Mus musculus: one gene and its partners. Each later gene encodes a partner of the first gene's protein in a complex. Links are inferred from orthologs where the notes say so. Each region holds a gene or a part of one and is shown in the gene's direction. Other genes may lie near its edges.

Region 1 (3,500 bases):
AATCCAAGAGGACACTGAGGCAGCTCCCCATCCCCAGCTGTCTGACAGCAAAGACGCTTTCAAGAAGACATGGAACCCCAAGTTTACCCTCCGCTCACACTACGATGGCATCCGCTCCCTGGCCTTCCACCACAGCCAGTCAGCACTGCTTACTGCCTCTGAGGATGGCACACTCAAACTGTGGAACCTGCAGAAGGCAGTTACGGCCAAGAAGTAAGGGTGCCACCCTGGAGGGTGCGGGGCCTTAGGACCTGGGGTCCTAGTGATGGGATTCCTCTTTTTCCCACAGAAATGCTGCACTGGATGTGGAGCCGATTCATGCTTTCCGAGCTCACAGGTAGGGAGATGGCTGAGCCTGTTGTAAGCCCTGCGACCCAGCAGCATAGATGGGCTGCTGCTTCTTGCTGCCCTGGAGACCTGGAGCAGTGGAGGCTTGGGCATACCCCTTACTCAGGGGCCATGTTGGTTCCCATTGTGGTTTCACTGAGGCCCCTAGAGCAAAGATGCCAAATTCCTCATGGCATCCTTAAGATATACCTAGGAAAGGACACTGACTGATGGGAGGGCTAGGTGGCTAAAGGTGCCTTCTACTAAGCTTGACAACATAAGTTTGATCCCCAGGACTCAGGTGCTAGGAGGAGAGAACCAACTCCAGAAGTTGTCTTCTGACCTCCACATGCGCATTGTGATATATGACAATAAATACATTTAAATGATATTTAAAAATAGCTAGAAGAGCCAGGCATGGTGGCATGTACTTTGGATCCCAATACTTGGGAGGCAGAGGCAGGCAGATCTCTGTGAGTTCAAGGCCAGCCTAGTCTACAGAGTGAGTTCCAGGACAGCCAGGGCTACACAGAGAAACCCTGTCTTGAAAAAACAAAAACAAAACAAAACTAAAAGCTAGGAGAAATCCTCAAGCTCCCGTGAGCAAGGAAGGCTTGAGCCTTAGCTGCCTTGCATCGCCTCTCCCTTGCACCCTGCAGGGGCCCGGTGCTGGCAGTCACCATGGGCAGCAACAGCGAGTACTGTTACAGTGGTGGGGCTGATGCCAGGATCCACAGCTGGAAGATTCCTGACCTCAACATGGACCCATATGATGGCTATGGTGAGGACAGACCCTGCCACTCCCTCCTCCTGTCACAGCTCTGGGAAGTAGCACTGTAAGCTTCCTGGTCTGACTTAAGGTTAAGAGAGTGGGCGGAGGGAGATGAGGCGTAATGGTGAGGGGAGAGTTGGGCTGCATTTGAGGGACAGTGTGAGCTGGCTTTTGGGGAAGCAGAGGCTAGCCTGGGTCAGGGCCAGAATGGGCTTGGTCAACTTGGTGGACTATGTTGGGGATCAGCTAAGGTCTTATTGTGGGTCAGGGGTTTGTTAGAAACAGAGGAGGTGAGCTGAGAAGCATTGGGGGGACCATAAATGGCAGGGAGTTGAGGCCTTGTCCTTTAGCCCTTTAAGAGTTAAGTGGAGGAGCTGGAGATGGGGATCAGTAAGTAGGTGGAGTGAAGCTCTGGGTCCCATCCCAGTACCACAGGAGCTGGGTGGATCAGAATGCTAAGTTCATTGTTGGTTACATAGGGAGTTTGAGGCCATGAAATCATATCTCAAAAACAAACAAACCAGACAAACAAAAACAAAAAACAAGACATAAATCTTTAATCGCACTCAGGAGGCAGAAGCAAACAATGCTCTGAGTTCAAGGCTAGCCTTGTCTACATACTAAGTTCTAGGCCAGTTAGAGCTACATAGTGTCTCAAAAAAAAAAAAATTGCTGTTTCATCTTACAATGGAGCAGTAATGGCAGGAGGGATAACCGCAATCACAAGTTCAAGACCAGCTTGATTATGTATTGGGTTTCAGGCCTGCTGTGCCACATAACAATCAAGCTACTGCCCGGACATAGTGAATCCCTATTGGGAGGAAAAGTCTTCTCCACTCCAAGAAAAAGTTAAAGAGGAAGTGATAATCTTAGTGCTCAGGAGTTTGAGGCAGGGGGATTTTAATTTAAGGTCCAGGTCAGCCTGCTCGACATAGAAAAGTCTTGTCTCAAAATAACACACTACATAGGACCAGCAAGATGGCTTAGCAGGTAAAGGCACCCCTGATGGTCAGAGTCCAGTCCCTAGAACCCACATTAGAAGGAGGGAACCAACACCAACATGAGTTGTCATCTTGCCACCACTTGGGTTCTCACATACTTGCGTGCGTGAACACACACACACACACACACACACACACGTGCTGGGCAGCAGCCAGCAGGCGCAATGGTGCACACCTTTAATCCCAACACTTGAAAGGTAGAGGCAGAAGGATCTCTGAGTTTGAGGCCAACCTGGTCTACAGAGTACCAGAGTGGTCAGGACTACACAGAGCAACCTTGTCTCTGTGCAGACCAGACACGGGGCAGGGCAGGCGGGAGGGATGGACAGATGAGCAGGTAAGTGGGCAGGTAGATGGAGGAATAAGAGTTAAATAGGAGGAGGCTGGAGAGATGGCTCAGGGAGTAAGAGCACTGACTGCTCTCGAAGGTCCTGAGTTCAAATCCCACATGGTGGCTCACAACCATCCGTAATGGGATCTGATGCCCTCTTCTGGAGTGTCTGAAGACAGCTACAGTGTACTTACATATAATAAATAAATAAATATTTTTTATTGTTATTAAAAAAAGAGTTAATTAGTGGGTAACACTGTCTTGGGAACACCCTCACCCATGTTCTTGGATGTTTCTCACCTTCCTGAGGACCTCATTTTATATTAACTCCCGTGTTTTTGTTTATTCTATTTTGAAACAAGGTCTTAAAACTAGTTTTTAAGTCTGTTTTTAAGAAGCCTTTTACCTGGCAATGGTAGCACACACTTTTAATTGAGGCCAGCAGCCTGGTCTACAAAGTATGTTCTAGGACAGAGAAACCTGGTCTTGAAAAACCAAACAAACAGACAAAAGTCTTTTACTAGGAGAAATGAACACCACGTCCTATCCCTCACCAAGAAGCTATTTACAATTGACTTCTGTGAGGAAGGGAAATGAGCTGCCTCTGAGCCAGAGTCACTAGGTCTATCAGTGACACTCCAGGGCAGGCTTCATGCCTAGGGGTGGCTGACAACTCAGAACACACTCCATGTTGTTGGGGGAAATTTTATGTTTCTTTCATTTTTGGCTCTTTCTTTCTTTCTTTCTTCCTTTCTTTCTTTCTTCCTTCCTTCCTTCCTTCCTTCCTTCCTTCCTTCCTTCCTTTATTTTTCCTTTTCTTTTTCTTTTTTTAAAATCTTCTGCTTTAGTTTTAGTCTTTTAGAGAGAAGGAACATGAAGTTGCTTGGGCAGTAAGGAGGTGGGAAAATCTGGGGAGAGCTGGGGAGAGAAAGAGTGTGCTCACAATATAGTTTAAGAAAAAATTCTTTTAAGTATTTTTTTAAAACTTTTTAAAGTTCTTTTTCTTTTTAAGAGAGGGTAAGTACATTTTTAAAAAATGTCTTATAGGCTGCATGTAGTAATGTACACC
Region 2 (3,500 bases), on another chromosome or scaffold:
TTTGTTTATATTTTTTGTTGTTTGGAGACAGGGTTTCTCTGTGTAACTCTGGCCATCCTGGAACTCATTCTGTAGACCAGGCTGGCCTCAGACTTAGATCCGCCTGCCTCTGCCTCCCAAGTGCTGCAGTTAAAGCCGTGTGCCACCACTGCTGGGTGGTGAGGGCAGCGCTTGTTTTCATTTCTTTGAAACACGTGAAGTGGCAGAGCCCACTGTACTCCTGCCCACTCTTGCCTATCTGGGGTCAGGCTGGGCTGTTTTCAAACCCCAGGGCAGCTTGCTCTTAGGGGTCCTCATGCCCTGTGAGGAGAGCAAGCTTCAGCCTCCAGGGCGACCTTGGGAGTAGCAGTGCAGTGCGTAAGGCCTCCCGCCTTTCTTGTCTTTCAGCGGCCAATGTTCTGCTCTCTGAACATGGAGAGGTGAAGCTGGCAGACTTTGGAGTGGCCGGCCAGCTGACGGATACCCAGATCAAAAGGAACACCTTCGTGGGTACCCCCTTCTGGATGGCGCCGGAGGTCATCAAGCAGTCAGCCTACGACTCAAAGGTGAGAGTGCTGCCCCCAGATGCTTGGTCCTTCTGATCATGCACATTCTGCCTGTGCCTGAGGTGGGTGATGGTGATTCTGCGACCTCGGTTAATGTCAGCTTCCTTCTCTATCTCCTGCTACACCGTTGGATCCCTGTTCCTCTGGCCTTAGTGGCTGTCTTTACCTTAGCTCATGTTTGATATGCTGGGGACCAGGAAGGAGCAGGTGTGAGGATGAACACAGCTTAGGCCTTCTGAGACATGCAGACCCCAGATGGTTTAGGCTGTGGGGGGTCTGGACAGTTAGTAGAGAGGGCTGGCCATGTCTGCACATGAAGGCTGTTGAACCCTTTGGCACAGTGGATGAGGGGCAGGGCCTGGACAGAGCTCTGCCTGCTCTAGGTAGGACATCTAGAGAAAGGAGTCCTCAGAAAATCCCACAGCAGAGTGGGCAGGTGTGGTTCCTCAGTGATTACAACTGCTTGTTTTGTTTTATTTCAGGATCTGTATTCTCAGAGGCTCCCATCAACAGGAGTCTGTCTCCCTCTCCCTCTCCCTACCCCCCCCCCCCCCCCCACACACACACACACCCGTCTGGCTGCGGCTCCTTGTCGGCTCTGTTCCTAATGCTTTCACTCTTTGCTTTTGTCCTTTAGTTTTCTGTAATCTTGTAGTATAGACTAGAAATGACCCAACCGTCTGCTCAGGTCAGAGACCTATGCACAATAAACATGATCATCGGAGAGAATTGACTTTCCTGAGCACCAAACTTTCAAAGCAGAAACTATTTAACTCAGAAACGTTCACAGGCCGAACACGGGTTTTCTTTGCTTCTTTCCGTTTACTTGTTTATTTGTTCTTTCATTCATTTATTTAGTATGATTGCTGACGCCCTGGAAAGCCTGAGGCTTCAGATTCCCAGAGATGGAGGTAGGCAGTTGTGAGCTCCCTGACATGAGTGCTGGGAACCAGACTCGGATTCTCGCCAGAGCAGTGTGTGCTCTTAAATGCTGAGCTATCTCTCCAGCCCCTTAAAACAAAACAAGCCCTAAATTAGTTTTGGGTCTGTAGCTGAAGTCGGATAGTCTGAACACACTGGTGATCTCCTGCCTCAGCCTTTGTGTGTTAGCAGGCCTGACTTGTGTCTCTGTCTTGTCTTTCCTTTCTTTCTTGGACCCTCCTGTGTGTAGCAGATTCCTGGCGTCATTAAATGGTGTGTGAAGCATAGGGTAACTCCCTTTTGGAACCTTGGGTGCTATTGTAAGGTATATGCCATGTGGCATGTCTCTGTGAGTGAGGATATAGGTATCCCACGTTCTGGCTGGCTCCGTGAACTTAAAGAGAAACTGGTGGTGTGGTAGATCCTGTAGGAGTTCTGGCCCTGTCATCCAGCACACAGCAGGAGTACTTCAGGTTAGTCAGGTCTTTCTCTGCATTTGTTTCTTGTTGTTTCCATATCTTCTGGAAGATGGATCACCTCCATGGCTACTTCTTGTCTAAAGCCCGGTCTTCTCTTGGCCTTTTTCCTGAGTTCTGTCAGGTAGGAAGGTGGGTGTATTGTCTACCATTTGCTGTTTGTATTCGTGTCTGGATTTTGGTAGGAGAGAGACCAGGATCCAGGTAGTAAATTAGCTTGTCAGCCATGGCCCTTACGGCTTGGGGCTCAGGCCACCCAATTCTGTTGTACCCTGGGCCACTCACTTTCTTGTTTCCCAGAGAGCTTTCCTGATCTCCCTGCCATACCAGATACCTCTCTGAAGTGGGTCCTTGGTGTAGTTCAGCTTTCGTTGTTTTGGACAGGGACTGTACCCCCCTTACCTGACTCGTCTGAACCCTCAGGTGCCACATTTCCTAACAAGCAGGTATGTGTACTGGGGCTTGGTATCTGTGCTGTTTGGAGAGGCATCCTGTCTTCCTAGTCTCCATTTGTTGGGGTACGTGGTGTTTAAACACGATTGGGTGTTTCCATGGCTTCTGATCACATGCCAAATGGCTTGGTGTCCTGGATGTGCCAGCTCTGTGTCCAGGCTTGAAGGTGGGCATCAGAGGCAGACAGAAGACTGCCCAGGTCCCTGCACAAGTCCTGGGGAATGGCAGCTCAGCCAAGATAGAACTAGAGGGGTGTGGGAACGCTAGGCACCTAAGAGTTCACTGCCACACACTTCTCACCTGTGTGGGTTCAAATACTTCATGGTTTGGTTTAGATGGACTCCACTAGAGAGCCCAGTCTGGTCTTGAACTTTCAGTTCCTCTTGCCAACCAACCTTCAGAGCTGGGGTTACAGTGGCCTGCCACTATTCCTGGTTGTATTCAGGATGTTCCAAAGAGGAATCTCAGGTTGCTTTGCAGCCCAGGGCTGTCACTCAGTGTACCGGGGACAGAGTAAGCAGAGACAGTTCCTTGCAGGATTGCTGTGCAGTCAGAGCGCAGCTAACCTCAGGCAGAGACCATGACTGTCCGGCCTTGTAACCTGTAAGGCTGAGCAGGGTGTGTGAAGTCTGGAGATCTGGATGGAGAGCCATTGCCAGGGGCCCCATTGATGCATGGTGGGACATGGCTGTGCCTCAGAGCATGGGAGTAGGTGCCGTAGTTACGAGGACTACAGTGGGAGCACGTGAGTCAGGCCTGCCTCAGTCCTCCTCTTCCTGCTGTGTGGCTTTCTCCCTTTTTCTAGCCACCTTCATGGTGATGACTGAGGTGATGTGGCAGGGATTTCTGGTGCTCACAAGGTTTCAGGAGAATAGCAAGCAAGGGTACTCCAGGTAAAGGCTGGAGATTGTTCTGGTCCCCTGGTCCCCTTCATCGGCCTCTCCTGCCACCTGTGCCGTAAGTGTTGGACTTGTGACAAGTTCATGGTGCAATGACAAGAGCAGGTGCCGTTCTCCACCCCATCCCCATGCCTTCTTTGCCAACCCGTTTTGTCGTGTTTCACACGTGTTGAGCTCCTGACAGCCCTGCTTGTTGTAAAGTTGGC
Region 3 (3,500 bases), on another chromosome or scaffold:
TTGACCGCATTGGCAAAGGCTCATTTGGGGAGGTGTACAAGGGGATCGACAACCACACCAAGGAAGTGGTGGCCATCAAGATCATTGACTTGGAAGAGGCCGAGGATGAAATTGAGGACATCCAACAGGAGATCACTGTGCTCAGCCAATGTGACAGTCCTTATATCACCCGCTACTTCGGCTCCTACCTGAAGGTGCCTACAAGAAGGAGGGATCTGTAGTGGTTGGGGATGGAGCATTCTGAAGGTTCTGTGCCAGGCTTTCTCTTTTGTTTCCAGAGGGATTAATATGTGTCCAAGGATAGGAGAGAGAAGAGAAGGTGACAGCTGTGGGCACATGGGAATCCCTCTGGAAGGGCAGAGAGGCCCACCCTTCCAAATATCTCAGCTTCACAAAAACAGCCTATTCTCTTGAGAAGTGCCAGTCCTCAGTAGGCTCTAAAATGTCTGTCAGTACTGTTAGGCACAGTCTAAGGGGCCCCTGAAGGCAGTCAGTACTTTTAGGGACTGCCTGGAGGGCACTTGAGCAGAGTGTAGAGAGTACAGAGAAGACTCATCTACTGCTTTGAGCAATTGGCCTGTCCACCAGGTGCCTGTAGCAGAGGTATGGTAGCTGGGTGGTCAGAGAGGCCTTTTCTCCATTCCTCCCCCTGGACAGAGTCTGTGTAGACCAGGGTGGCCTTGAACTCACAAGAGATATGCCTGCCTCTATCTCCCAAGTATAGGAATAAGGTGTATGCCACCGCTTCTTGCATTCCTTTTTTGTTTTGTTTTTGGTGGTTTGTTACTGTTTTTTGAGACAGGGTCTCACTGTGTAATTCTGTTTTTGTTTGTTTGTTTGTTTTTGTTTTTCTAGACAGGGTTTCTCTGTGTAGCCCTTGCTGTCCTGGAACTCAATCTGTAGACCAGGCTGGCCTCAGAAATCCACCTGCCTCTGCCTCTGCCTCCCAAGTGCTGGGATTAAAGGTGTGTGCCACCACTGCCCAGCTCACTGTGTAATTCTGTTTGTCCATTTACTATATGGACCAGGCTGGCCTTAAACTCACAGATACCCACCTGCCTCTTCCACCATGCCTGGCTTGGTCCTCCTTTTAATTTGTTAATACTAATTTTTTTGTTATTATTTTTACCTGTCTGTGCTGGGTGGGGGTATGTCTACAATTAGTCTGTGCGTGTGTCTGCGGAGGCCAGAAAGGGTATTGGGTTCTTCTGGTATGGGGGCTACAGGCCTTTGTGAGCTACCTGATATGGGTGTTGGGAGTTGAACACAAGTCTCATGTCCCCCAATTTGGCCTTGAACTTCTGATCCTTCCAAGTGTTGGGATATAAGCATTCACTACCTTGCCCGGCTAGAACCCTATCTTACTTGGCAGGAACTTGCCTGGTATAGTTGCTGTATGGGCTAAGCCCCTAGCTGACTACTTTTGGAGGAGTTAGAGGGGGTGGCTTGTGGAGTCCCCGCTTGGATATTCCTGCTGCATTTCCTGCCCAGGCACTGACAGGTTTCTCTGCTCCCAGAGCACCAAGCTGTGGATTATCATGGAGTACCTGGGTGGTGGCTCTGCACTGGACTTGGTAAGTTCAGACTCGAGCAGTGAGCGGCTTGCTCTTGAGGCTTGTCTTTCAGTGGCCCAGGAACCACTGCCCTGCACACTTTTAGGCTTGTGGCCTTTCTCAGGCTACCTATCACAGTTCTGTATGTTAACAGGAATTGTTAGTTTCAAAACAAATCACTGTTCATCTTGCTCTAGTTGATGCTAAAAGAAGTCTTGGGCCTCTACTGGGCTAGGGGAATAGGCACAGTTAGAGCCCCCAGACAAATAAGAGTGTCAGGTCCTTGGTTAACCTATTCCCATCTTTATAGTCACAGAAAAGATTAAAGCAACTCTTAAGTTTTCTGAAAACAGCTGTCACCCCCATTTCTCCTTACTTCCCCCATTATCCTTGACATCTGAAACTATAGGAACTAAGGAACATAAAGGCCCCCAGGCTTCTTTTGCAGGACTCAGAAGTTGGTGGGTGGTGCTGTTCAGGTGCTGTGGAGGTATGGGTGTGGTAGCTGCAATTGAAGTTCTTCCTGTCTGTGCTCCTGCAGCTGAAACCTGGTCCCCTGGAAGAGACCTATATTGCCACCATCTTGCGGGAGATCCTGAAAGGCCTGGATTATCTGCACTCAGAGCGCAAGATCCACCGAGATATCAAAGGTCCTGCGGGGTGGGCTTGGATGCAGTTCTGCCCATGACCTAGAAAGAGATGGGCATGTGGAGCCTAGTAGATTGTGGTGCCTGAGGGCATGGGATGTGGGGAACGCTTCTGCCACCTGGAAACTGGGGAATTGGGGGGGGGGGGTTGTCCATTTTACTTTTTATCCCCATTTTTAATGGCCACACTGAGGGTAGAGCCTAGGGGATTATGCATTCTAAGCAAACATTCTGCAACTGAGCTACTTTGCCAGCCTAGAAAAAACCTTAATCTCACATCTCCTAATCTTTGATTTCATATATGTGAAGGAAACCAGTTGTGTACTAGTACAAAGCAGGAGCAGTGTGTGGATTCAGATGTGGATTTGTGCAACACTTCTGTGTGGTCCAGTCCTGATGAGGACTCACAAAGTTGGGCCAGCCCACCATGAATGACTTAGTGAGGATAGCTGAGCCTTATGTCACAGGGTGGAATCCTATAGGCAGAGTGATAGATGCCCTGACGAGCCATTCCAGCTGTACAATTCAGTTAGGGTCACTATGATTATATGTGAGGTGTCACTATTGTTGGTGCTTGTCAGAAAACACAAACATGCCAGGCCCTGGAACAAAGGTAGGAATGTTCCTGTAGGTCCCCCAGATTGCCTGCCCTTGCCAGCAGTGGCCAATGTCCAGGAAAACTAAGTTCCCAAGACATATCTGCTGCTGTCCCTAGGGGCCAGAGGATACCATCCCATCACTAGTCAGGGAGTTGCATGCAGGGTTATTTTGGGGGGCTGTGGAGCCAAGGATGATGCCCACCTATCCTGTATTGAGCAGCTGCCAACGTGCTGCTCTCGGAGCAGGGTGATGTGAAGCTGGCAGACTTCGGTGTGGCTGGGCAGCTCACAGACACACAAATCAAGAGGAACACATTTGTGGGTACACCCTTCTGGATGGCACCTGAGGTTATCAAGCAGTCGGCCTATGACTTCAAGGTGAGTTCTGGATGGGAGGTGAGAGTATACTGCCACCACTCAAAATGTTTCACGTAGCAACTGTCCTGTGTGATAACTCTCTAGGCTGACATCTGGTCCCTGGGCATCACAGCCATTGAGCTGGCCAAGGGGGAGCCGCCAAACTCTGATCTCCACCCTATGCGAGTCCTGTTCCTGATTCCCAAGAACAACCCACCCACATTGGAGGGCCACCACAGCAAACCCTTCAAGGAGTTTGTAGAGGCCTGCCTCAATAAGGACCCACGATTCGTAAGGCCTATATCCACTTGGGCCACCCCAGGCAGCTGAGGGGTTTGGGGAAG
Region 4 (2,679 bases), on another chromosome or scaffold:
CAAGGTGCAGACCAAGTATTTGGGGCGACAGTGGCGCAAGAGCAACATGAAGACGATGTCTGCCATCTACCAGAAGGTGCGGCACCGGCTGAACGATGACTGGGCGTACGGCAATGGTGAGGCCACATATGACGCCGCAAGAGTGGGAGAGGGTAGGACAAGGGATGACTTGACTCCTTGCCTGTGGTACCTTAGTTTTCTCTGCCCTTAGGCACTGAGCAGGGCCGGGATCTAGTTTTAGTGGCTCTGGGCAAGACTTTGGGAAGCTACTCAGTATCTGTGTTCATCTGTTTCTCTGTCCCTCCACTCTAAATCCTGTCTTTTCCAGAAATTGCCATAAGATTCCATCCCCTCTTTATCCCTACTGCAGCTACCTAAATCTATAGATCCTCACCGGCTCTGCCTCTAGTTTCTCCCCACTGTTGGCCTCAGATTTGGCTCCTGTAATCTTTTCAACACACCCATCCTATGCTGTTGCCCCTGAGTAAGATTCCTGTTAGCTTTCTAGTTCCCATAGGAATGAAGTTAAACATTAAGACAGGAGGGGCAATCATTCACTTGCCTGATCCCAGAGTTTGCAGCTTTCTTTTCAAGCCCGTTGTGTGCTGGTACCCAGCTTCTGTCACACCCAAGACTCCAGGACAGAGTATGAAACCTCAGTACCAGCTGAGGATTGCTCTCAGGAGCTCTGCAGATCCCAGCAGCCACAGATGCCCATGCTCTCCAGTGTGCCCTCTGTGCCTGAGAATAGACTGTACAGGTACAGAGGGAAACTACACTTGGTCCCTGAGCGCTAGCCATGTTGCCTCCTGTTCCTGGGCCTCTGTAGACTGTTGGATATCTACATCCTCCCAGTCTAACTGTTGTTTACCTGGTGTTGCTGTGTTACACTGTCGCAGTCACATCACTCTGTGACTATGCCTGGCATCTGGGCTCAAGGTGGTGCATGACATTTTGTCATGGAGGTGAGAGGAGGAGCAGATGATGGAGTCTCGGAGTTATCTCTGTCATCTAGAACCAAGGGGAGACTGTGCTTTAAAAACGAGTTTTCCAGGACTCTCCTGTCTGTCGACATGTTTTGGGGGAACAAGTCTCTTTCTCAGAGTTAAGGATTTTCTCCTTATATTTGACTATCCTCTCCTGAGGATGGGCTTTGGAGATGATCTTCTGGTTAAAATCACGCTCCTACTCAAGGGGAGCTGCTATAGGGCTGACTCCTAACCGAGTTTTCTGCTTTGCCCCAGATCTTGATGCCCGGCCATGGGACTTCCAGGCAGAGGAGTGTGCTCTCCGTGCCAACATTGAACGCTTCAATGCCCGGCGCTATGACCGGACCCACAGCAACCCTGACTTCTTGCCAGTGGACAATTGCCTGCAGAGCGTATTGGGCCAGCGGGTAGATCTTCCTGAGGACTTCCAGATGAACTATGACCTATGGCTAGAGAGGGAGGTCTTCTCTAAGCCCATTTCCTGGGAAGAGCTGCTGCAGTGAAGAGGGCTGGAAAAGACCATGATCTGTCTGTCTCATACCTGAGGGACTGTCCTCACCATTGCTGCAGTGCTCCTGTTCCCCTCCAGGTGGCAGCACAGCTCCATTGAGTCCTCCACAGCCTGCCCTGGGCCTGTGAGTGAACCCAGGTTAGCCTCTGGTTGATTCCCAGCATCCTACTCAGGAGCTGTCATCTCCAAGCTGGGATCTACTCTCCCTCCACTTGCCCAGCTTCTACCCTCCTCTCTTGGATATGATCGATTGAAACTCATTTCACAGTTAGCCCTAGGCTGGGGAAAGCTGAGCCGGGCCTGGCATCCCTTCTCGACAGCAGCTGTATCGTGAGGTCCCACAGACTCCTGGGCAGCTTTGGCAATGTCAGCTGGTCAGGAAGGAGGGTCCGCTTGAGGGCCAAGAACAGAGTCAGCACCTTGGCTGTGCTCTGGGACTATCTCGTGCCATCCCAGCATCCTGCTGAGTTCTGTCCAGAAGTGATGGACACACAGCCTCTGCACCCTGGTTTTGGATGTGGTCAAAGGTGGAGTGAGGCTTCCTGAAGCCAGAGGTGCCGGTTTCCTCTCGGTTGCCATGACCTGTAAATATACAAAACTCTGTGTGATCTCTGGTGTCATGGTGGGGTTTTTATTGTGTTTGTGTATTCTGTTTACATTAAAAGAAAGCAAAACTGTCCGTGTTGCCTTGTGTGTAGATGCAGGCTCTGGGGACTGGGGATGCAGCACAGGCACTAGAGTGCCTACCTGGTAGGAAAGAAGCCTTGGGTAGTGGTACACACACGTGTACTCTCAGCACTTGAGAGGTGGAAGCAGGCGAATCAGAAGTTCTAGGTCAGTCTTGACTACATAGTTCAAGTTCAGCCTAGGCTATGTGAGATTCTCTCTGAGAAATATGGCCTGAAAATGATCAGTTCTCTCAAGAATCCCTTTCCCCAGCATGACAGGCTACCCGGCTAAGCTCTGGCCTGCCTGCCTTCCTGCCTTTTCTACCTGTTGTAGAGGGAAGGAGGGGTTAGTACTTTGGTCGTCGGCCCACATCAGTCTGGGCACATTGCTTTAGGGTTCTGGGTTTGCTGAGGATCAGGGTCCTGACTGCTAGGCTTGCTGTAGTTTCAGTAGAGACGTCAAGTTTCTCGGGATGACGCGCCGCAGCTGTCCTCAGCCAAGCCAGTTAGT
Region 5 (4,113 bases), on another chromosome or scaffold:
ATCAGGGCCTACCATTGGGTAGAATAGAGAGAACGCCAAGGCTTGGAGCACTAAGAGTAAGGTAAAATCAATACCATATTTAATATACTTCTACCATATTAATAGAAGGTAGTATGTGGCAGGGGGGCCCAGATTGGACTTCTCAGATGTATTGCTTTTTAATTGCAATATTTGAGTCAAATATTTACTTGGCTGAGCCTTTTGATCTATTTGCTCAGTGGGGAGAAGGCAGTGTGACTCAAGTGAGCGCTTGTCACAATAACTCTTTACAATATACAGAGGGTAAATTTCGGGATCTCTGGGGCAATGAAAACGAAATCTACTACTACTACTAATGTTGATAATAACCAGATACTGTTCTTGGAGAAAAAAATTATTTAAAAAAGAATAGCATTTGTTGAGTGTGCATTGGTTGCACGGGCATCTGGCAAACTTCAAGGTGAGTTCTCATTTTACACATTTACTTGGATCTTATTTTGTCCTGTAACCTTTAGTAGCCCGGGTGTTCACATAGGTGCTTCCCTGAGACTCCTGTGACTGCTATTATTATCACTGTCATTATTGTGTTATTGGGTCCTCCAGAAAGGGTCTGCCTCACTCCTGGAGTTGAACTTAAATTAGAAGAAGGCAGAGAGTTGCAGAAGTCACTGTGCTGCATGCTAAATTCAAATATCTATACTCGGAAAGATGTAATCTCATGCTCCTTGCCTCTGTTATCGTTGTTAAGTTTTCTGCCAATACATGATCCGTTTTCCAATTTGCCTCTCTTTTACACGCGCAGAAATTGTGAGCAATTTCAGCCAGGCCGTTCCTCAACTAATAGCCTAAGGTAAGGACAGACTCAGGTTAAAGTGACTTGAGGCATATCTAAGGGCAAGGAAGCTGAAAATTGCAAGAGGGAAGGAACTTAGGCGTGAAGGAGCAGGTGTCTGGCTCGGTGGCCCCACCCTTGGCCAGGTGGGGGAGCCAAGCAAAACTTTTGCAACTCCAGACCTCTGGGAGGCTACAAGCACCCCAGCCTCGCAAGCCTGTCTGCAACGTGGCCGCATTCATCCGGGTTGCCCTCATCTCCCCTACCCCACTCCCGCAAACTCTTCTGTTCTTTCTCCAGGCTCGGTTATGTTCCAAGTTTTTCGATCCCGATCCCGCCTTTCTGCTGCTCTCCGCAACCCCTGAGAGCCCCGAGCGTCTCCAACTCTGGCTATGTTAGCCAACCCCCTTTGCAGCCTGAAGCCTCAGCTCCCCTGACACCGCCCGGCAGCGGGGTGGAGGCAGGGCCAACCGGGGAACCGCCCCCAGCCGCCTCCCAGCCTAAGCGTTCGGGCGGGTTGCTGGGGTGCCTCCACCTCCTCTTCCTAAAGCGGCGAGGCGCAGCAAAGCGGCATCACTGGAGCCCAGGTCCCAGGCACCGCCACAGGTCAAGCCCTGCATTCAGGAAAGAGAGCAACACTGCAGTTAGCCAAAAGCCAGGCAGGCGAGCGGCAGAGAGGTAGGTAAACTGAGTCCGGGAGAGCAGCGGCGCGAACCGCTCACCTCCCCGCAGGGGGGGGGGGGGCGGAATGGGGGGAGTGGAGGCTGCAAGCCACCAGCCCACTAACTCCACTTCTCTGCGTCCTTCCAGGCCTCGATCGAGAAGCCTGGTAGAGCTGCAGAGATACCTCCGTAGGAGGAGCCAGTCTCTGCCGGAGGCGCCACCGCCACCACCGCAGAAGCAGCGCGAAGTAGCAGTCGCCACCATGGCCCACTCACCGGTGGCTGTTCAAGTGCCTGGGATGCAGGTGAGGAAGCCCAGGCCTCCCGTGCCGCCCACGTGACTGCTCCGAAGCCCCGCTTTGGGCACCAGGCACCAGGGACCAGGGCAGCCACGGGGCAAACCTGAAGGCAGGGCCGGATCTCTCACCAGGTGACCCCGAAGTAAAGCTCGAGGTGTTTCCTGGCGTCCGGGCTAGAAGGTGTTTTGCACTGGAGAGATTGAGGCGACTGGGGAGAGACTCAGTTGGTGTTGGTGTGTGTGTGTGTGGGGGGGGGGGGAGTACACGTATAAAAATAGGCCAGAACCTTAGGCACCTGTACTTGTTGGCTTGTTAATCGTGGCACAGTTGAGGATTCAGCGTGGGGGAGTCCCAGAACTTAACCTCGATGAGATAGAGGCGTCCTGGAATGTGTGGGCTAAAACACCCAAGAGGTGCCCCCACACGGTACACACACAGAGGTTGGGGCGGAGCGAGACCAGGAGTGGTGGAGGCATTGAATTTGGTTCTTCCTGTGTGCAAAGACAGAAGAGCAAGATGCCTTCTTTTCCCCTTTGGTGCCACTTAGAAGCAAACTTCTATCACGCTCCCCTACCTAGCTCAGTGGGTAGTGTTCCAAGGACTGCAGGATCCTGTTCTGAGGGCCTAGGTAATGACTCCACATACCTTTCTCCTTGTCTGTCTGCTAAGGTGGTTGGTACACGTACTTAAGCTTTTGTCCAGCGCAAAGGGGGAAAAAAGTGTGGGACCCAACATTTTACTCAAAATCCATACAGTTCTCCTCCCATTATACTATCGTTTCGTTAAAGAAAATTATGTCAACAAATGTTTTACACATCTTGTTGTTTTTTTAACCACTCTTAACTTTTTAAAGCATTTACATTTGGGGTATCCCCCATGGCAACCTAAATAACCCTTTATGAGTTATAAGTCAGAGGCTAAAAACACTGAGACTGGGTTCCTTATGATCTTCTAACTATGCTAAGTCAAACAAACAAATTATTTCAAGTTCTGAAATGTGGAGACCACTGCATAGCTTACGCTTCTACTAGGAGTCCAAACTTTGTGAATTGGAGTCTCTGTCTACTGCCGCATGTGCTGACTGGTCTCATTGTATTTATGATAAAAATAAAAAGGTGCTTTTAAAAATATCCTTTCTCCTCAAAGGGGTCATTTGTACAGGACATACATGTCTCCTGTATTTAAGGGCAGGTCTGGGTTGAGACTCAGGAAGGGGAGGGAAAGAAATGTAAAATAGAAAGAGTGGGGCTTTTTGTGGTATTAATCCATTTCAGTTTTTCCCAGTGCCCCAAACTTTTTTTTCCTCATGCATTCTCCATCTCTGGCTCTCTTTTCCCTAACTGCTCTGCCCCACACGCCATTCATTGAAGTCTGACTTTGCTTGTATCTGGACAAGTAGTAGTTTGCAATAGGAACTGGTTTTGCTCTGCCTGGTTTGGAACGACACGTGAACTTTCCCCCTTCGTGCACAGCTTTCTATTATGTGGAGACATAGAACTTTACATATGGCTACTGCTCAGAGGCTCCATGCTTCTCTCTCCATTGTGAGCAGGCGCCTGCCTGCATGCGGCCACACTGGTGCCTCCCCTTCATCAACTTTGTGTGATTCTGGGCTACTCAGTGTGATCACCAGAAAAGGGTTCCTGGTCTTTATTTCATTTGGCTTGACTTTATTTGATTTATGTGGTTTCTGGTCTTTATTTAATTTGTTCTGACTTTATTGGATAGAGATGGTTTGCTAAGTGCTCACCGTTGAGCATTGTCACATTGCTCCTTGCTTTGTTTAATTATGGGAGCTAGCTATCTCTTGGATTTTTAGATCTTAATTAAGGTGGGTTGAAATGGGAATCACATATTTGAAATGATCAACTTTGCCTTGCATGGTGTGCCTTCCCCAAGTTATTAATTTGTCAGTCCTTAGCTGTACAGGATAGTCATCTCACATTCAGCAAGCAAAGATTATTGATTCTTGCTCCGCCACTTTCCATCTAAGTGAAGTAGCACGTTATCCAATTATTTTCATTTTTATTTCTAGATGTAGTTCTTAAGCACTTGCTGCAACATTTAAAGAAGACAGCTTTTCCATCTTTGAAATTATACAGGGACCTAAAACACATTCACAGCATGCAGCATGACCCTTTAGCCTAGAATAGTTTTGTTGTATTTCCCAAAAACTATAATGTAGAAATATATTCTGGGATCATAATGGTCTCCTATAGTTTTGTTAGAGTTAGAAGCAAGCAACTTTTAGGTTGTTTAAGTAGCAAGAAATCTTGAATTTGCCATGTGTTCTTTAAATTAATGTGCAATATTTCCCCAAATCAGGGTGGAGTGATTGACT
Region 6 (3,500 bases), on another chromosome or scaffold:
CTCAGCAACCAAGATGTCACCTTTAGTAACCTGAACAGTAGCCTGGTCAACTGTGTTTTCTTCCCTAGGGAGAAGAGGTGGTACCAGAAACACCGAGTGAAATCCTCTACCAGGGCATGCTGTACAGCCTCCCCCAGTACATGGTAAGGAGCTGGCTAGTCCAGAGCTACCCTTTCCTACCAAGAGGAACTTGGAATTCTGAACTTTCCTTGTGGCTGCTCTGCAGGTGCCATTCTCCCTAGCCTTTCTCCTGGAGCCTGGGGTGCATAATAAAGTAAGATCTACCTATAGATGATGTGTCAGAGCCATTTCTACTAGCTAATTGCCACTATCATGAGTTCTGCCATTGTCTGCCGTGTCTTTGGTAGCCTCTGGATAGGAATGGTGAAGATGTTGATGGGGTCAGAGGAAGAACAAGAAGGGGGAATGTTGGGCTTATATCTCCCACGTAGTTCTTGCTTTGCCTCTCCCAGTTTGTTCTTTCTGTGTTCACTTTGGGAGCAACCCTGAACAAAACAGCTTAGAAGTTTGCTTTGGCCTTCTCCCTTGGCCTCACAGACAGGCCTCAAGATAAATACCTGTTTGCATTACTATATTCTGGCAAAGCTTAGTCACTAAAGGAAGATCTTAGATAAAGGCTTTGAAATACTTTTCATGGGCTGGAGAGATGGCTCAGCAATGAGGAACAGATTGTTCTTCCAGAGGTCCTGAGTTCAGTTGCCAGCAACCACATGGTGGCTCACAACCATCTGTAAAGTGATCAGATGCCCTCTTCTGGTGTGTCTGAAGACAGCTACAATGTACTCATATACATACAAAAATAAACATAAAAAAATAAAAATTAAAATATAAAGAAATACTTTTCATTCGGGCTAGAGAAGTTTGGAAGAACCACTATTTCGCAAAGTGGGATAGACAAGGATGGCTTTCCTCTTTTTCTCTCTCCTAGATTGCACTGCTTAAGATTCTGCTGGCTGCAGCTCCCACCTCCAAGGCTAAGACAGACTCTATCAATATCCTGGCAGATGTCCTGCCTGAAGAGATGCCGTGAGTGTCTCGTCTTCAGGCCTCTGTCCCTCCGCACTGTGGTAACAGGAGTTGTCTGAAGAGAAGTCTTTCCTTTTCTGCATGGCCTTCTACCTACTGAGCTCTATGGAACTCAGAACTAGGGTCCAACAGAAAACCTCAGTGCTGATATATGAGTAGCCGCCAGATACATGAGTAGACAGCACCAGTGGATAAGTTTGCCAGAGACTGGACACATGAACAAAAAGATCATGAAAGCTTTCTCCTGGATAGATTCCTAAATGGGAACTTCAGAGATTTCCCTAGCAGAGAAGTTCAGGTTTCCTAAATTCTGACTATATATATATTCTGACTATAGATATAGACGTGTGTGTGTGTGTGTGTGTGTGTGTGTGTGTGTGTGTGTGTGTGTGTGTGTAGCCCAACTACTTGGGTCTTTCATCCCTAGGCCTCCATCCATCCCTACCTTTGTACTAATGCTTCATCTTCCCCTTGTAGTGTAACTGTTCTCCAGAGCATGAAGCTAGGCATTGACGTGAACAGACACAAGGAAATCATTGTAAAGAGTATCTCTGCCCTGCTCCTTCTACTTCTCAAACACTTCAAACTCAACCATATCTACCAGGTGAGCAGTTAGGGACGCTACATTTCAAGCTCCAAGTATTCCTCATGCCATAGGGGCCACACAGGAAGTCTTGTACTGCTGTGTATTTTACTTGGCCTTTGTTTGTCCTGAATGAGAGAGTCCAGCTACTTGTGGCATGAGTGTATGGTGGGATATGGAGTGGGATGTGGGGAGCCATCCTAGAAAGATACAAAAGTCTATATTCTTTGTAAGTTAGCTCCAGGTCTGGCTAGGGATTCTTAAGAATACTCCTAGCTAGTTAGAATCAGTTCAGCCATTCAAGAAAGGTCCCTGGGCACATTGGCCATACTTGTCTGTAAGTGAAGCACTATTCTGAATCAGATCTAATTCTAAATGAGACACAGATCAGACTCTTACAAGCCACACAGTCTTGTAACAGATCCATAAACGCCCACTTGTAGAGTGGTGTGATACAGATAGGCACTGTTGAAATACCTAATCCAACCTGAGGTAGAGAAGAGTTGACTTTTAACCTAAGTCTCAGAGAAACAGATGTTAGCCAGGAAATGAGACTTATCAGGAAAGAGAAAACCCAGCTCAAGCAGAAAGTCCAATATGTGAAAGCTCAGAGGTGAAACAGCAGAGAGCTTTTGGAAACTAATTAAATGTTGCTGGAGTTCTGCCTCTGAGTGGGGTGATAGAGATGATCGGCTGATATGTGAAGCCACAGGGATCATCAGGGATCGTATATCTGATAACACATGATTATGAAATACCTATATTGTGCTTGACATCCAACAGAGCTTTTGTGAGCTTCTCACCTCTAGGAATCCTTATTTTATCCCTGGTTTTTTTTGGGGGGGGGGTGGGGACTGGTGGCATTTTTGGGTAATTTTTTTCTTTAGTTGTTATTGCTGGTTTGGTTTGGTTTTGAGACAGAGTCTCACTGTGTAGCTGTCCTGGAACTCATTATGTAGACTAGGATGGCCTCAAAGTCACAGAGATCCTCCTACCTCTGCCTTCTGAGACTGCACTCTGGTTTATCTCAAGTGGGGAGATTAGGGTTAAAGTCAAGACTTTGCTTTGCTTTCCCACAAAGGCATTGTTTGCCTTGGGCTGTAGGCATTACCAAGGTACAAGGACAAGATGCAGACAAGTGAATGGAAGCTTCTCCTTTAGAGAGCCTGGGAATATGGAACCCTTCTCATTTCTGCCCTGAGGCCTTACACCATTTTCCAACTAAGCACTCAAAATAAAGCCTGATAAAAGAAAGAGTCGTGTTCAGGGAAGGCCGGCACGGGCTGAGACTGTGGCTTTATCCTGTGTTTGCTGAGCAGCATCCACTAGGATGTGTTTCCCAGTGTTTCTCTTGAAGGGCAGTAGATAGATCTATAGCCAGACTGAGAGATGTCCTGAATGGCCGGGCCACAGTGTGTGTCAGCGTGGGGAAGTCCAGACAAAGCCTGAACAGAGCTCAGAGTTTTAAAACTTCCCACTTTCAGTAGTACGTATGTACTAGCTCCTTTATCTAGAACTTGGAAAATACTTTTGGGTGGCTTCCAGGGAGGAAATGCCAATTAGGAGAGAGAAGCAGTTATGACATAAGCTGACTCCCACCTCTAACCACATACTCGGGAACAGAAAGCAGCTTACCCTTCTGCCATGGCTACTTCTTGCAGATGACACAGAGATACAGTTTTAAAACACCATAGTTCTCTGCCTTTTCTACCTTGTTTCTGTACTGTCCCAGCATGCTTAGGCTCAGATTTGGAGGCATCCTTTGTTTCTGGTGTTCCTCCGTACATCATAAACAAAATCCAGGGTGACTAACTCTATACCTTTGTTCTTATTGCCACTTACCCCAGTAGGTCTCCCTGGACATGGACCC
Region 7 (3,500 bases), on another chromosome or scaffold:
CCTGTCAAATTAACTGTAGTAACTGAAGGAAAGGAGTTTGACACTGATGCTGTCAGCAAGATGTCCTTTATTCCTAGAGTCTGCCATGGGAGCTAAACCCTCTTCAGTAGATGGACAGTCAGAGGAAAGTCAGATCCATGGCTGATAGTGGGCATCCACTTAATGACTCGGAGGGACTTGGGATTAATGATGAAAGGATGAAGATGCAGAGCGAATGAGGAAGGGTATAATATATCGCAGTGGTTTATTTCACATTATCTAGTTTGTTTCTTTATAGGAAAAGAAAGAAACATCAAAATGTTGATGCCCTTTAGATAACTGGCTTGTAGATGATTTGAAAGAAGCCTTTCCTCTGGTAGGGGTCTTACCTTAAAACATTGACTGCCATACTTTGAGAATGAGATGAGAACATGGAGCATTCAAACTATGGCAGTGGGCAATCTCTTATTCTATAAGAGTTTGTTGTCAGTACTGATGGTCAGCCAAGTATAGTGGTGCATGCCTCATTAGTTCATTAGTTAGCTAGTTTGCTGGTTGGTTAGTTATTTAGGTGGCAGCTAAACTGCCTTGTAATCCAGACTAGCCTAGACTGTACAGTGAGACCCAAAAAATAGTTCATTTTAAAATCAAGTTTAAGGTTTGTCTTAGGGCTTTATTGCTATGAACAGACATCATGACCAAGGCAACTCTTATAAGGACAACATTTAATTGAGGCTGGATTACAGATTCAGAGGTTCAGTCTGTTATCATCAAGGCAGGAACATGGCAACATCCAGGCAGGCATGGGGCAGGAGGAGCTCAGAGTTCTACATCTTCATCTGAAGGCTGCTAGCAGAATACTGGCTTCCAGGAAGCTAGGATGAGATCTTATAGTTCACACCTACTCCAAGAGGGCCACACATAATAGTGCCACTTCCTGGCCCAAGCATACACAAACCATCACAAGGTCATGTCAATGAAAGACAGTATCTACATTTGGTGATGGGTAATATTTAAGTTGATTTGGTTGGTTGGTTTGTTGGTTTTTGCGGGATATGTTCGCCATGTAGATTAGGCTGTTCTCCATGCAGATTAGGCTCCATGTAGATTCACCTGCCTCTGCCTCCTGGGATTGAAAATGTGTACCACCATGCCTGGCTTGTTTTTCAATGCTTAAGACAAAACAAAAACAGGGCTGGAGAGATGGCTCAGCAGTTAAGATCACTGACTGCTCTTCCAGAGGTCCTGAGTTCAATTCCCAGCAACCACATGGTGGCTCACAACCATCTGTAATGGGATCTGATGCCCTCTGCTGGTGTGTCTGAAGATTGCAACAGTGTACTTACATAAAACAAGTAAATAAATCTTTTTCTAAAAAAGTATTTTTTTGGCAACACAGAGAAACCCTGTCTCAAAAAACCCCCAAAAACAAACAAACAAAAGTATTTTGTTTGTTTGTTTTAGCAACACATTGTTAAATGTACATTTTATAGGTTATGAGAAATACAGAAAATTAACCCCTTTGGAGTTTTTCTATCTTAATGTATTTTTCTGTTTTAATGGGTTCATATTTATGTAGGTTAGTAAGGTTTGTTTGGTTTTTTTTTTTTTTCCTGCCTCTTTTTTACAGGGATATAACTGGTGCCATGACCGGAACGTAGTAACAATTTTCAGTGCTCCAAACTATTGCTATCGTTGTGGTAACCAAGCTGCAATCATGGAACTTGACGACACTCTTAAGTATTCTTTGTAAGTATCTACTCTGAGCTAGCTTTGTGTTGTCCAGCCCTGCTTAAACCAAAGCATAGGTTGTTGACTTTTGACTAAATTTTTGTGGGAATGAACCTACACATAATAGAAACTAGCACTAGTGTCTCTTATTTGGTATGAATAACTTGTATGAGTTACTAGGTCTTCAACCTATAGTCCTAATTTATAGTCCACCATTGAGGGGAAGCTGAGGCAGGAACTAGAAGCAGCTCCTCAAATAACATCTACAGCCTAGATGTAATGTTACCTTCCACCAGAGGCAGGAGGAACTCTGTGAGTGAGGCCAGCTTGGTCTATATACAGAGTTTCAGGGGCTATATCAAGAAGCCATGACTCAAACAAAACAAAGCAGAGAGAAGTGTGTGGGCCCTTGCTTGTTGCTTATGCTCAATTAGCTTTCTTCATTCTTAAACAGATGAAGGCTCTCTGCCTAGGGAATGGTAACAGCCACGGTGGGCGTGGTGTTCTTACATCAATTAAGATGGTCTTCCACAGACATGCTCACAGGTCAACCTGATTTATATAAGTCTAGTCCTCAGTTAGAACTGTTCCCAGGTAATGGTTCTCTTGTGTCTGGTTAACAGCTAAAACTAACCATGTGTTTGTAGCCCAAGCTGGTCTAGAACTGTGATTTTCTTGCCTCAGTTTCCCAAGTGGTAATGTTAGAGCTGTGCCCCAATATACCTAGGTCTATTAAAGTTGGGTTCTATTCTTTTAAAATGTACTGAAGTTGGATGGGGAAGAAAATTTGAAAATTTGGAAGATGTTAGTTTTGTTAACTACATGGTATCTTCTGGAGTAGTAACACTGAGTCTTCCTTGTTTTTCAGCTTGCAGTTTGACCCAGCACCTCGTAGAGGCGAGCCACATGTCACTCGTCGTACCCCAGACTACTTCCTGTAATGAAAATGTAAACTTGTACAGTATTGCCATGAACCGTATATTGACCTAATGGAAATGGGAAGAGCAACAGTAACTCCAAAGTGTCAGAAAATAGTTAACATTCAAAAACTTGTTTTCACACGGACCAAAAGATGTGCCATATAAAATACAAAGCCTCTTGTCATCAACAGCCGTGACCACTTTAGAATGAACCAGTTCATTGCATGCTGACGCGACATTGTTGGTCAAGAATCCAGTTTCTGGCATAGCGCTATTTGTAGTTACTTTTGCTTTCTTGAGAGACTGCAGATATAGGATTAAACATTAACACCCGTGAGTCCAGTTGACTTCACTTAGCTGTAGCTTACTCAGCATGACTGTAGATGAGGATAGCAAACAATCATTGGAGCTTAATGAACATTTTTAAATAAGTACCAAGGCCTCCCCTCTTGTTGTGTTTCTTTCAGGGATACCATTAATTTAATTGTATGATTTGTCTGCACTCAGTTTCTCCCCTTCTCAAATCTCAGCCCCGCGTTGTTCTTTGTTACTGTCAGAAAACCTGGTGAGTTGTTTTGAACAGAACTGTTTCCCTCCTGTAAGATGATGTTACTGCACAAGTCACCGCAGTGTTTTCATAATAAACTTGAGAACTGAGAAAGTCAGGTTTGAATTGTATCAGTGGGCACGACTGGTGCTGTTTATTAACAAGATAAATCTATTGATCAATTTCAGAATTTGTAGAATCCCAGGTAAAGAAAAATAAAGATCAAGGCCACTGTGTAACCTCTCTGGCAACTCCTTGGTGTTCTTCAGAAGAACTTGGGGACCTGTTTGTCTGACATACCGCAGTTTGTCTTGTTGCTGGCC

Evidence for each region.
Region 2: Strn4 (region 1) and Stk24 share a complex: the UniProt entries of both Homo sapiens proteins name them as parts of the core of STRIPAK complex. The link is inferred for Mus musculus from reciprocal best matches to the Homo sapiens genes STRN4 and STK24.
Region 3: Strn4 (region 1) and Stk25 share a complex: the UniProt entries of both Homo sapiens proteins name them as parts of the core of STRIPAK complex. The link is inferred for Mus musculus from reciprocal best matches to the Homo sapiens genes STRN4 and STK25.
Region 4: Strn4 (region 1) and Strip1 share a complex: the UniProt entries of both Homo sapiens proteins name them as parts of the core of STRIPAK complex. The link is inferred for Mus musculus from reciprocal best matches to the Homo sapiens genes STRN4 and STRIP1.
Region 5: Strn4 (region 1) and Stk26 share a complex: the UniProt entries of both Homo sapiens proteins name them as parts of the core of STRIPAK complex. The link is inferred for Mus musculus from reciprocal best matches to the Homo sapiens genes STRN4 and STK26.
Region 6: Strn4 (region 1) and Strip2 share a complex: the UniProt entries of both Homo sapiens proteins name them as parts of the core of STRIPAK complex. The link is inferred for Mus musculus from reciprocal best matches to the Homo sapiens genes STRN4 and STRIP2.
Region 7: Strn4 (region 1) and Ppp2ca share a complex: the UniProt entries of both Homo sapiens proteins name them as parts of the core of STRIPAK complex. The link is inferred for Mus musculus from reciprocal best matches to the Homo sapiens genes STRN4 and PPP2CA.

What each region holds. Positions count from the first base shown.
Region 1 is NC_000073.6:16,832,889-16,836,388, forward strand, and holds part of Strn4 (striatin-4), read left to right. Parts: intron 1-37; coding exon 38-213; intron 214-289; coding exon 290-337; intron 338-986; coding exon 987-1,108; intron 1,109-3,500. UniProt on the Homo sapiens protein: Calmodulin-binding scaffolding protein which is the center of the striatin-interacting phosphatase and kinase (STRIPAK) complexes.
Region 2 is NC_000080.6:121,299,231-121,302,730, reverse strand, and holds part of Stk24 (serine/threonine-protein kinase 24), read left to right. Parts: intron 1-387; coding exon 388-545; intron 546-3,500. UniProt on the Homo sapiens protein: Serine/threonine-protein kinase that acts on both serine and threonine residues and promotes apoptosis in response to stress stimuli and caspase activation.
Region 3 is NC_000067.6:93,625,728-93,629,227, reverse strand, and holds part of Stk25 (serine/threonine-protein kinase 25), read left to right. Parts: coding exon 1-194; intron 195-1,517; coding exon 1,518-1,574; intron 1,575-2,094; coding exon 2,095-2,203; intron 2,204-3,019; coding exon 3,020-3,177; intron 3,178-3,261; coding exon 3,262-3,447; intron 3,448-3,500. UniProt on the Homo sapiens protein: Oxidant stress-activated serine/threonine kinase that may play a role in the response to environmental stress.
Region 4 is NC_000069.6:107,612,032-107,614,710, reverse strand, and holds the end of Strip1 (striatin-interacting protein 1), read left to right. Parts: coding exon 1-116; intron 117-1,244; coding exon 1,245-1,492; 3' UTR 1,493-2,179; downstream 2,180-2,679. UniProt on the Homo sapiens protein: Plays a role in the regulation of cell morphology and cytoskeletal organization. Required in the cortical actin filament dynamics and cell shape. Part of the striatin-interacting phosphatase and kinase (STRIPAK) complexes.
Region 5 is NC_000086.7:50,840,058-50,844,170, forward strand, and holds the start of Stk26 (serine/threonine-protein kinase 26), read left to right. Parts: upstream 1-1,313; 5' UTR 1,314-1,489; intron 1,490-1,621; 5' UTR 1,622-1,736; coding exon 1,737-1,778; intron 1,779-4,113. UniProt on the Homo sapiens protein: Serine/threonine-protein kinase that acts as a mediator of cell growth. Modulates apoptosis. In association with STK24 negatively regulates Golgi reorientation in polarized cell migration upon RHO activation.
Region 6 is NC_000072.6:29,937,513-29,941,012, forward strand, and holds part of Strip2 (striatin-interacting proteins 2), read left to right. Parts: intron 1-68; coding exon 69-143; intron 144-949; coding exon 950-1,047; intron 1,048-1,524; coding exon 1,525-1,651; intron 1,652-3,500. UniProt on the Homo sapiens protein: Plays a role in the regulation of cell morphology and cytoskeletal organization. Required in the control of cell shape. Calmodulin-binding scaffolding protein which is the center of the striatin-interacting phosphatase and kinase (STRIPAK) complexes.
Region 7 is NC_000077.6:52,119,324-52,122,823, forward strand, and holds the end of Ppp2ca (serine/threonine-protein phosphatase 2A catalytic subunit alpha isoform), read left to right. Parts: intron 1-1,609; coding exon 1,610-1,728; intron 1,729-2,578; coding exon 2,579-2,651; 3' UTR 2,652-3,426; downstream 3,427-3,500. UniProt on the Homo sapiens protein: Catalytic subunit of protein phosphatase 2A (PP2A), a serine/threonine phosphatase involved in the regulation of a wide variety of enzymes, signal transduction pathways, and cellular events.